Ovis aries: one gene and its partner. The protein of the gene in region 1 purifies or fractionates together with the protein of each later gene. This does not show direct contact. Links are inferred from orthologs where the notes say so. Each region holds a gene or a part of one and is shown on either strand. Other genes may lie near its edges.

Region 1 (4,839 bases):
TGTGGAAAAATTCCGTTCCATTTTACTCAGTGTGCCACTTCTTGTTGTGGACAATAAACAAGAGATTGCAGAGGTAAGAGCAGTCTAGCTGCTTGTCATAGTGCTAGGCACCCCCCTAGTCTTGCATCTGTACCGTGACCTTCTTTTGTCCCCTCTCTCCAGGCTCAGCAGCTTATCACCATTTGCCGTGAGTACATTGTGGGTTTGTCCATGGAGATAGAAAGGAAGAAACTGCCCAAAGAAACTCTAGAACAGCAGAAGCGCATCTGTGAGGTAAGCCCTCTGAGCAGTACAGAGGCATTGTCCCTTTTACCCTCTGAATGAATGAATAGTAAGTCACTTCAGTCATGTCTGACTCTTTGCAACCCTCTGGGCTGTAGCCCGCCAGGCTCCTCTGTCCATGGGATTCTCCAGGCAAGAACACTGGAGTGGGTTGCCATTTCCATCTCCAGGGGATCTTCCCCACCCAGGGATCGAACCCGGGTCTCTTACCTCTCCTGCCCTGGCAGGTGGGCTCTTTACTGCTAGTGCCACCTGGGAAGCCTCTATGGAGTTTGAATTCTTTAGGTCTCAATATGGGGAGTGAGAGAAATTTGCACCTGTTTCTGTGACAGTAGTATGTATTTCTCCACCCTTCTTCCTCATCCCATAAGTTCTCTATAACTAGGAGGCAGAAGCTTTCTCTGTTTTATAGCCAGTCCGGTGTTTATTTGGTGGTTTTGTTGTGTTTTTAATGCGTGTGCAACAACTTATAAATGATCTATCCTAGCTTTAGCATCAGCCTGACATATGGTCCTCTTTCTGTCCACCAGATGGCAGCCTATTTCACCCACTCAAACCTGCAGCCAGTGCACATGATCCTGGTGTTGCGTACAGCCCTCAACCTCTTCTTCAAGCTCAAGAACTTTAAGACTGCTGCCACCTTTGCTCGGCGCCTGTTGGAACTTGGACCCAAGCCGGAGGTGGCTCAACAGGTATATGGGAACTCCTTCAGTGAGCATAGGAGAACTGGATCTCCTTTTACATGGAGGGGGTCAAAGACCAAGGTTCTTGTCTCAGAAACAAAGTGCTGTATTACAGCATTCAACAAAAGAGGCAACAAGATGCCATCCTCTGTTTACATACAGAGGATGAGGACCTCTGTATGGCATGCTGCTGCTAAGTCGCTTCAGTCATTTCCAACTCTGTGCAACCCCATAGACGGCAGCCCACCAGGCTCCCCTGTCCCTGGGATTCTCCAGGCAAGAACATTGGGGTGGGTTGCCATTTCCTTCTCCAGTGCGTGAAAGTGAAAAGTGAAAGTGAAGTCGCTCAGCTGTGTCCGACTCTTAGCCACCCCATGGACTGCAGCCTACCAGGCTTCTCCATCCATGTCATTTTCCAGGCAAGAGTACTGGAGTGGGGTGCCATTGCCTTCTCTGTGTATGGCATGAGGACCCCCTTTTTATTCCTGGAAACTAAACAAATACCTTACTCAGACATGGCTCCACTCTGAAAGTATGACCTGTGACATCAAATAGCTCCTCTGTAGCTGAAAGTCAGCCCCGAACTGTCCTTAAGTTCTAGGTTTCTCCTTATCAACACTAGTTACCTCTATATATATACATGTCCCATTACTTGTGCTTTCTGAAAGCTTTTTTATTTGGGCAGTGAAAGCCAGTTTTAACCCTTTCATGGCCAACCCTGAGAATTCTCAGACTTAGTGGAGAAGTATGGGTCTAGTTAGCCTTCCCCTGTAGCTCAGCTGGTAAAAGAATCCACCTGCACTGCGGGAGACCTGGGTTCAATCGTTGGGTTGGGAAGATCCCCTGGAGAAGGGAAAGGCTACCCACTCCAGTATTCTGGCCTGGAGAATTCCATGAACTGTATAGTCCATGGGGTCGCAAAAGTTGGACACGACTGAGCAACTTTTACTTCACTTCACTATGGGTCTAGTTCCATAGGGCCACTTTGGGATAGAAAAGGAAAAACCCTAATACAATAGGAATGGCAATTATTATTCCTTCATATGACCTGTGCAGAGAACTTACTCTGTATTCAGTCAGTACAATTGCTTCTTACATCAAAGAAGCTACTAACCATGGTGTTGAGGTCATTTGAGTTGTGGTGTGCAGTTTTCAGTCCTTTTAAACAAAACGTTCCTTCCCTCCCTTAGACCCGCAAAATCCTGTCTGCCTGTGAGAAAAACCCCACAGATGCCTATCAGCTCAATTATGACATGCACAACCCTTTCGACATCTGTGCTGCATCTTATCGGCCCATCTACCGTGGAAAGCCAGTGGAGAAATGTCCGCTCAGTGGGGCCTGCTATTCCCCTGAGTTTAAAGGTCAGATCTGCAAGGTCACTACGGTAAGTACTGTCCTTGAGAAATGAATCTAGAATATTGAGGGAAGGGGAAAGAAGGCATATTGGTCCTTTGGTTCCCTGTATTCCTGCCTCACACCTTAAGGTGATGACATTGGAGAAAGGTAGAACTTCTCCCCACCACTCCTTACGATCAGTAACCATAACAAAGCACTCTCCTGTCCTCACTAGGAGGGCAGGGAGTAGACCCTCTAGGCTTCTCACCCTCAAAATCCCCTAATTTTTTTTCTTCTTCCATAGGTGACAGAGATTGGCAAAGATGTGATTGGTTTGAGGATCAGCCCTCTGCAGTTTCGCTGAGGCCCCTTTCTGTGTATAGGGTCAAACACCATGTTTCCTGCATCTTCCTTAACTACTGTTCATGTTGGTGTTTAGTTCTCCCTGCCCTAAAATCTAATGTCCTTTTCTCTTCTTGTATGGCTAATCAAGTCTAAACCTGACTTTTTTTTTTGCCTCTGAGAACTTCTCATCTTCTCAAGGTGACTTATAGTTGTGGTCACACTTAGCCTTGCCTTCCCAGCGTAGATCTTTCAAAGAACATTTGTGATGAACATTTAAATAGTAAATTCCTTCAATATTTATCCTTTCCCTTTCCACCCCATGTGTGCCTTTTGTTAGAAAGAAATGAGATGTAATAAATAAGATAGCGTCTTTTACTCAGTCATAGCAAGCTCTTAGCCATCCCCATTTTCCTTGGACATTCAAACTCCTAAGCAGATAGAGCCTCTCTGTGCCCAGAAACTTGAAGTCTGAGAAGAAAGTGTTTGTTTTCCCAGAAATGCATATCACTTTTTGTTGATTTATTCTTTCTAAACATTGTTCTTGTATTTTGTTTCTCACACAAAATAAAGTAGATTTTTATGAGAGTTTTGTGGCTTGTCATTTGTTTCCTGGACATACTCACATTCCTCCTTACTTCATGTAGCTGCCCCATCCAAGCAGATATCTTTCCTTCAATAATTATTTTTAATTACAAAGGTAGTAAATACCTAGTGATTTTTTTGTTTTTAAAGTAAACTGTGAGAATGGGAGAAAGCAAGTAGTTCCCTATTCCATTGTTGACTGCAACCTTCCATCCATTGCTAATTAGTAATACACTGTATATAGTACAACATATTTTGCTTGTCATGTAGTAAGATTAATTTGGTAGAGTGATATAGTGTACCTTTGATTAAAATATATACTGTCATTTCAAATTCATGTTTTCAATAAACAGTACATTTAGTTCACAAATCAATAAATTTAGAAAGCTATTCAGTAATGTCTTCCTCCTCTGCTTTCCCTCAGCCACCCAGTTCCTATCACCTTCCCCAAAACAGGTAACTGCCGTTCTTAGCTTCCTTAAATCCTGCCAGAGGTTTTTTTTTAAATGTATATACAAGCAGATGTCAATGTGTTCTTCCCTATCCCCCTACTGTATCTAAATGGAAGCATACTACTTAAGGATTTTAAGTTGCCTTTTTATTGATGGATATACTTATTGATTGATATTTGACTGTTATAAACAGTGGTGCAATGAACATCTTGAACATACATTGTACAGGTGGGGAAAGTGAGCCTGGAGGATAAACTAGAATTGTGTGATTCCTACATCAAAGAGTGCAGGCCTGTGTGTCTTTTTAGCTTTAAAAGATACTTTCTTGCTACTTCCTTGGTGGTCCAGTGGTTAAGACTGTACTTCCACTCTATGGGGCACAGGTTCAATCCCTAGTTGGGGAACTAAGATCTCACATTAAAAAATTTTTTTAAAAAAGATGTTTTCTTAAACATAGTATCCCCAAAATATGTCTGCCTTCTCAAAAAATTTGCATACTAGTTTTATAACAGTTTCTCAAGTTACAAACATTCTTACTGTAACCTAGGCAAGTTGATCATTTCAGTAAGTTTTTTTTTAAGTTTAAAACTTAAATTATAAAATTAGTTTTGCATATCAACATAATGAACTAAGGGATATGAAAAAAGTGGACAATCCTCATGAAGCTTACATAATCTTAGTTCAGCTTAGTCGTGTCTAACTCTTTGCCACCCCATGGACTGCAGCACGCCAGGCCTCCCTGTCCATCACCAACTGGGAAACAATGGATAAATATGAAATACCAGACAAGAATTTGAAGCTGGTTAATAAACAATGGAGAACCAAAAATGTCCTTAATCAAGAGAATAATACAAAGAAAAAGCTGTAAAATACCCTTGCGGCAGTGTTCTGGTTGCTTTGCCAACAAAGGTCCGTCTAGTCAAGGCTGTGGTTTTTCCAGTGGTCATGTATGGATGTGAGAGTTAGACTGTGAAGAAAGCTGAGAGCTGAAGAACTGATGCTTTTGAAGTGTGGTGTTGGAGAAGACTCTTGAGAGTCCCTTGGACTGCAAGGAGATCCAACCAGTCCATCCTAAAGGAAATCAGCCCTGGGATTTCTTTGGAAGGACTGATGCTGAAGCTGAAACTCCAGAACTTTGGCCACCTCATGCGAAGAGTTG
Region 2 (5,346 bases), on another chromosome or scaffold:
GGGGGTCACCGGGCTCTCTCCTCTCCTGCCCAGCCCACCCTCCGTCGGATGTGCTACTTGACCATCAAAGAGATGTCGTGCATCGCAGAGGACGTCATCATCGTGACCAGCAGGCGAGTCCCAGGTCCCTGATGGCTGCACCCATGCCGAGCCCGTCTTCTCCGAGCTCCCGCCGCTCAGTCCTCGGCCACGTGTTGCCAGCGCCCTTGCCTCCTTTGCTCTCTCCTCGCCCTCTCCTTCACTTACTCTGCCCAGCCATGGCGCCTCCAGGGGGGGCGGTTCTGCTTGTAATTCTCTGGCCTGGAGTTAGGCACAAACCGTCCCTTCCCTGCTTCCTCTTGGTCCGCTGAGGCAGCCCAGAGCCTCCACGGCGACTCCGGCTCTTCCCAGGAGAGCCCGGGAAGAAGCGACGGGGACGGGGGGCGGTGGGGTGCACGAAGCCCCCAGGCAGACTTTCCCACGAAGGGCTGCTGTGCTCAGGAGGCATTCGGCTCCGGGCCGCCCCTGGGCTCCATTCGCGTGCTTCTCCTCGACGCAGTTTGGGGGTTTGCTACCCATGCGTGTGTAGGCTCACTTAGAGAGTGTGGCAGACGTGGCTTCCGCAGCCCCAGAGCTTCCCGGGAGGTAACCCCACAGACCGGCACTGGGGGGGGAGGGGTGTGACGGCTGTGAGAGCAGGCCAGGAGGACCGCCAGCTTGAATCTGGGTCAGGCAAGGCCTCCTGGAACTGGGGGAGTGGAGTCCTGCAGGGCAAGGCAGGCAGAGCAGGACAAAGGTGGGGTGGGTGGAGTGCAGCTGCCAGGACCTGGGGGCAGTCCAGGGGCTTCTCCGTGACCCCTCAACGGGGAGAGTGGCAGGAAGTCCCACCTGGGGAGGTTGCCGTCGCAGCAGGGCAGTGACCCGGGCAGTGTGGAGTTTCATGGAGACCTCTTGATGAAGGGTTAGGAGCCCAGAGCAGACACCCATTAATAATGGAGACGGGCCTGCTGACCCGGTTGGGGTGGGTGGGGTGTGGGAGCAGGCCCGGCCCCCGCGTGAGGCCTGTGCCGTGTCCCCGTAGCCTGACCAAGGACATGACCGGCAAGGAGGACAGCTACCGGGGCCCGGCCGTGCGTGCCCTATGCCAGATCACCGACGTGAGTGCCCCGCTTGGGGAGGGGCGTGGGGTCCCCAGGGCGCACACCTGCTCCCCTCCTCCTGGCCTCTGCCCCACATCCTGTCGCCTGCGCCCCCACAGAGCACCATGCTGCAGGCCATCGAGCGCTACATGAAGCAGGCCATCGTGGACAAGGTGCCCAGCGTCTCCAGCTCCGCTCTCGTGTCTTCACTGGTGTGTAGCCTGGGGCCAGGGCTGGGGCTGGGCCTGGGCTGGGCTGGGGCGGGGCCTGGGCTGGGGCGGGGCCTGGGTTGGGGCGGAGCGGGGCTGGGGCTGGGGCAGGGGCAGGGGCAGGGGCAGGGGCAGGGGCAGGGGCAGGGGCAGGGGCAGGGGCTGCTCCGGAGGCTGAGCTGAGGAGACATCAAAGATCGCTTTCGCAAGGAAAACCAAAGCTGTGTGGCCCCAGTTGTGAGAGTCCCACCCCCTGCTCTGTGAAGAGTGCCCAGGGGTCTCTGGGTGGATTGAGGGCCCAGTTGGCGGCCTTGACCCATGCCCTGGGGTGACAGGTTTTGGGGATTTGAGCCTGGCAGGAAGTCCGCCAGGGCAGGAGGAGTGAGGGTGGGAGCCGTGCTGAGTCTGCGCCTTCTCGGAGGACCCCGACAGCAAGGTGTCCTGCCCGCCCCGCTCAGCGTGCCCTGTGCCCCACAGCACCTGCTCAAGTGCAGCTTCGACGTGGTCAAGCGCTGGGTGAATGAGGCCCAGGAGGCCGCGTCCAGTGACAACATCATGGTCCAGGTGAGTCGCGAACAGGGCAGGGATGCTAAAAATACTCAGGCGCTGGCCAGCAGGATGGGCTTTCATCACGGAGGTCCTGGCGGCCCCTGGCCGGAGCAGGCTTCAGTCCTTATCTCGTGGTGGGGAGACTTGGGGGTTTGAGGAAAAGAATCCAGGTCATCTCTTACAGGGAGAATTGGTGTACAGACTTGATGGGCTCATGCTAAAATACTGGCTTGGTTTAAAAACCAGCGAGTATTATTTTGGGTGTGTGATGCCATCTCCCTGGTGCCTGGTGAGGGTTCAGTGGCAGCCTCTGCCCTCCTGTCCAGACCTGCAGGCCCCCCGTGTGGGCATCTGTTCCCTCTCCCCATGTCTTAGTGGTGGATCTCGTTTCCAGGGCCCACTCTGGCCCCTCAAACCCTCCAGGATCACAGAGGCTTCTTCCCACGTAAAAGGCCCTGAGCGCCGCCCTAGTAAGGATTCCGGAGGGCAGAGGGGATGGTCTGTGCCTCCCCTCCCCCTGCTGGCTTCGCAGCAGCAGCCACGCATCCTGGGGCGGGGCCGGGGGGCCGAGGGCCTGCTGTAAGGGCGCCCGTCTGCACGGCCCCCGAGATGTCCTCAGCCCAGGCCGGCTCCGCTTCCTCTTTCTGGGCGGAGACCCCTGGTCTCCAGTTCCTCCGTCTGCGCGGCGCCTGGCGGGGTTGGGGGACGGAGGCCTGCAGAGTCCCAGGTGGCTCAGTGGGCGTGGCCCACACCTGGGCTCTGTGCCCACCCCAGAGGTGGGGAGCGGGCCCCGTGGCGTCAGGCCTCACTCGCGCTGCTCTACAACCCCCAGTACCACGCGCTGGGGCTCCTGTACCACGTGCGGAAGAACGACCGCCTGGCGGTCAGCAAGATGATCAGCAAGTTCACGCGGCATGGCCTCAAATCCCCCTTCGCCTACTGCATGATGATTCGCGTGGCCAGCCGGCAGCTGGAGGACGAGGACGGCAGGTAGTGGCACCGCGCCAGCCGCACACCCCCCCGAGCCCTCGCCCAGCCCCCAGGCGGCCCCCCAGCGTCCTCTTGCCGCCTGTCGTTGCAGCCGTGACAGCCCCCTGTTCGACTTCATCGAGAGCTGCCTGCGCAATAAGCACGAGATGGTGGTGTACGAGGCCGCCTCGGCCATTGTCAACCTGCCCGGGTGCAGCGCCAAGGAGCTGGCCCCAGCTGTCTCAGGTGCCCAGGCCCCGCCCCCCGCCCGCCCCGTGCAGCTGGGTCTCCCAGGGGCGAGGCCCTGCCTGGGGTGGACAGGTGCGCTCTCCTCATTTGGGGAGGCCATGCCAGTTGGGGGATAGGTGAGTGGGGGATTTGGGTCTGAACAGTCTCTGAGCCTTGGTCCCCAAACTGCGCCCGGTGCCCTGTCTGTGCCCCTTCCGGGGCCCCTGGGTTTCCTGGCTGCGGCGCGGTGGCAGCCCTCACCGGCCTCTGCCTCGCGGGGGCAGCCCTCACCGGCGTCTCCCCCCGCAGTGCTCCAGCTCTTCTGCAGCTCGCCTAAGGCCGCCCTCCGTTACGCCGCCGTCCGCACCCTCAACAAGGTGAGTTCGCAGTGGACAGAGTGGGGCCGGCCTTCCGACAGGGCTGGGGGCGGGGGCCCCCGCGGCAGGAGGTGCAGCCCTCCTGCAGCTAGATAGAGGTGCAGCTGGCCTCTATCCCCCAGGTGCTGGCGTGAGCCCACCTGAAGGGCCAGCAGAACAGTGGGAGGCCTCCCGTGGCCCGTCCGTGTCGTCACCTGTTTGCTCCCGGACAGGTGGCCATGAAGCACCCGTCCGCGGTGACGGCCTGCAACCTGGACCTGGAGAACCTCGTGACAGACGCAAACCGCAGCATCGCCACGCTGGCCATCACCACGCTGCTCAAGACGGGCAGCGAGGGCAGCATCGACCGTCTCATGAAGCAGATCTCCTCCTTCATGTCCGAGATCTCGGACGAGTTCAAGGTGCACAGGCTGCGCCTGCTGCGGGGCGGGCCGGGGCTGCCGCGGGGCCTCGCTGTGGCGCCATGCGAGGCGCTGCTCCCAGCCTCCGTCGGCGAGGCGGGCGGCTCCAGGCCTGTCAAGCCCTTTGTTGTGTCCCGTGTGCGCGCTGTCTTGTGCTGGGCAAAGTCTGGAGGGGCGAGCAGAGCAGCGCGCACGCCGGCCTGCCCTCGGAGCTCGCTTTCTGGGGCGGGACCACGGGAGTTGACTCCGGAGTGGACGGGATCGTCCCCCATGCTGGAGCAGCGAGGAGACCCTCAGGGCGGCAGTTCCCGGGGGAGCCGCCTGGGAGGACCTGGGAAGGGCCAGCCAGGGCGTGTGTGCGCTTGCCCTGAGCTCTGAGTAGATGAGCAGACGGGGGAGCCCCACAGTGTGGATCGGGGCCTTGGACCGCGGTGCTCGCTGCCCTGCCCGGGGGGCTCGGAGGTCCCCTCAGCCCCTGGCCTGCCGTGCCGCGGCCCGGCCCCACCTGAGGAGGGGCTCTGCTGGGCTCGGGGACTGGAGGAGCCGCCCGCGGGGCTGGGCCGCGGCTCACGCCTGTCTCCGGCACAGGTCGTGGTCGTGCAGGCCATCAGTGCGCTGTGTCAGAAGTACCCCCGCAAGCACGCCGTGCTCATGAACTTCCTGTTCTCCATGCTGCGGGAAGAGGTGAGCGTGGGTGGCCTGGCTGCTGGCTCCCGGGCAGGCGGGCCTGGAGCCACCTGTTAGCTGGCTGGCTTCTGGTGCCCGCAGCCCCCTTGGCTCCTTGTGTGCAGGCAGTGCAAACATGCCCCAGTCACTGTGGTTACAGTCGTAACTGACAACGTGCCCCCCTGGCCATATAGACTCAGCAGATGCCCAAGGCGATGCTTAAGCAGAAGATGAATAACAATCTGTCTGGTGTCATCTGGTATAGAAATATTCTAGCCATTGCAATGTTTCATAAAAAAAATTTTCCCACAAAAATCGGTCCTTGGTGCCAAAAAGGCTGGAGACCGCTGTCATAAAATACACACGACGTAGAATTCATCAAGGGCTTCCCATGTAACTCAGCTGGTAAAGAATCCGCCTGCTATGCAGGAGACCCCGGTTCGATTCCTTGGTCGGGAAGATCCGCTGGAGAAGGGATAGGCTACCCACTCCAGTGTTCTTGGGCTTCCCTGGTGGCTCAGCTGGTAAAGAATCTGCCTGCAGTGTGGGAGATCTGGGTTCGATCCTTGGGTTGGGAAGATCCCCTGCAGAAGGGAAAGGCTGCCCACTCCAGTATTCTGGCCTGGACATCAGTCCATGGGGTCACAAAGACCGAGTGCCTGTCACAGTAGAATTCGTCACCTTGTATATTGTTCAGTATTGTTAAATACCTTCACACAGGAGTGCAGTTAATTTCCAGAACTTTCTCATCCTGCAAAACTGAACTCTGTTGCCATTTAACGATAACCCCCTACTCTCTACCCCTCCAGTCTTTATACCGCCCACTCTT

The links. The genes of interacting proteins can lie anywhere in the genome.
Region 2: the proteins of COPA (region 1) and COPG1 purify together in Homo sapiens (affinity purification with mass spectrometry; 6 studies listed by BioGRID and IntAct, counting the BioPlex papers as one, with this or other methods). This does not show direct contact. The link is inferred for Ovis aries from reciprocal best matches to the Homo sapiens genes COPA and COPG1.

Annotation. Positions count from the first base shown.
Region 1 is NC_056054.1:111,310,668-111,315,506, reverse strand, and holds the end of COPA (coatomer subunit alpha), read left to right. Parts: coding exon 1-73; intron 74-162; coding exon 163-273; intron 274-812; coding exon 813-974; intron 975-2,155; coding exon 2,156-2,350; intron 2,351-2,605; coding exon 2,606-2,665; 3' UTR 2,666-3,231; downstream 3,232-4,839. UniProt on the Homo sapiens protein: The coatomer is a cytosolic protein complex that binds to dilysine motifs and reversibly associates with Golgi non-clathrin-coated vesicles, which further mediate biosynthetic protein transport from the ER, via the Golgi up to the trans Golgi network.
Region 2 is NC_056072.1:59,021,076-59,026,421, forward strand, and holds part of COPG1 (coatomer subunit gamma-1), read left to right. Parts: intron 1-33; coding exon 34-113; intron 114-1,060; coding exon 1,061-1,136; intron 1,137-1,237; coding exon 1,238-1,330; intron 1,331-1,804; coding exon 1,805-1,891; intron 1,892-2,708; coding exon 2,709-2,866; intron 2,867-2,957; coding exon 2,958-3,091; intron 3,092-3,382; coding exon 3,383-3,450; intron 3,451-3,662; coding exon 3,663-3,851; intron 3,852-4,439; coding exon 4,440-4,535; intron 4,536-5,346. UniProt on the Homo sapiens protein: The coatomer is a cytosolic protein complex that binds to dilysine motifs and reversibly associates with Golgi non-clathrin-coated vesicles, which further mediate biosynthetic protein transport from the ER, via the Golgi up to the trans Golgi network.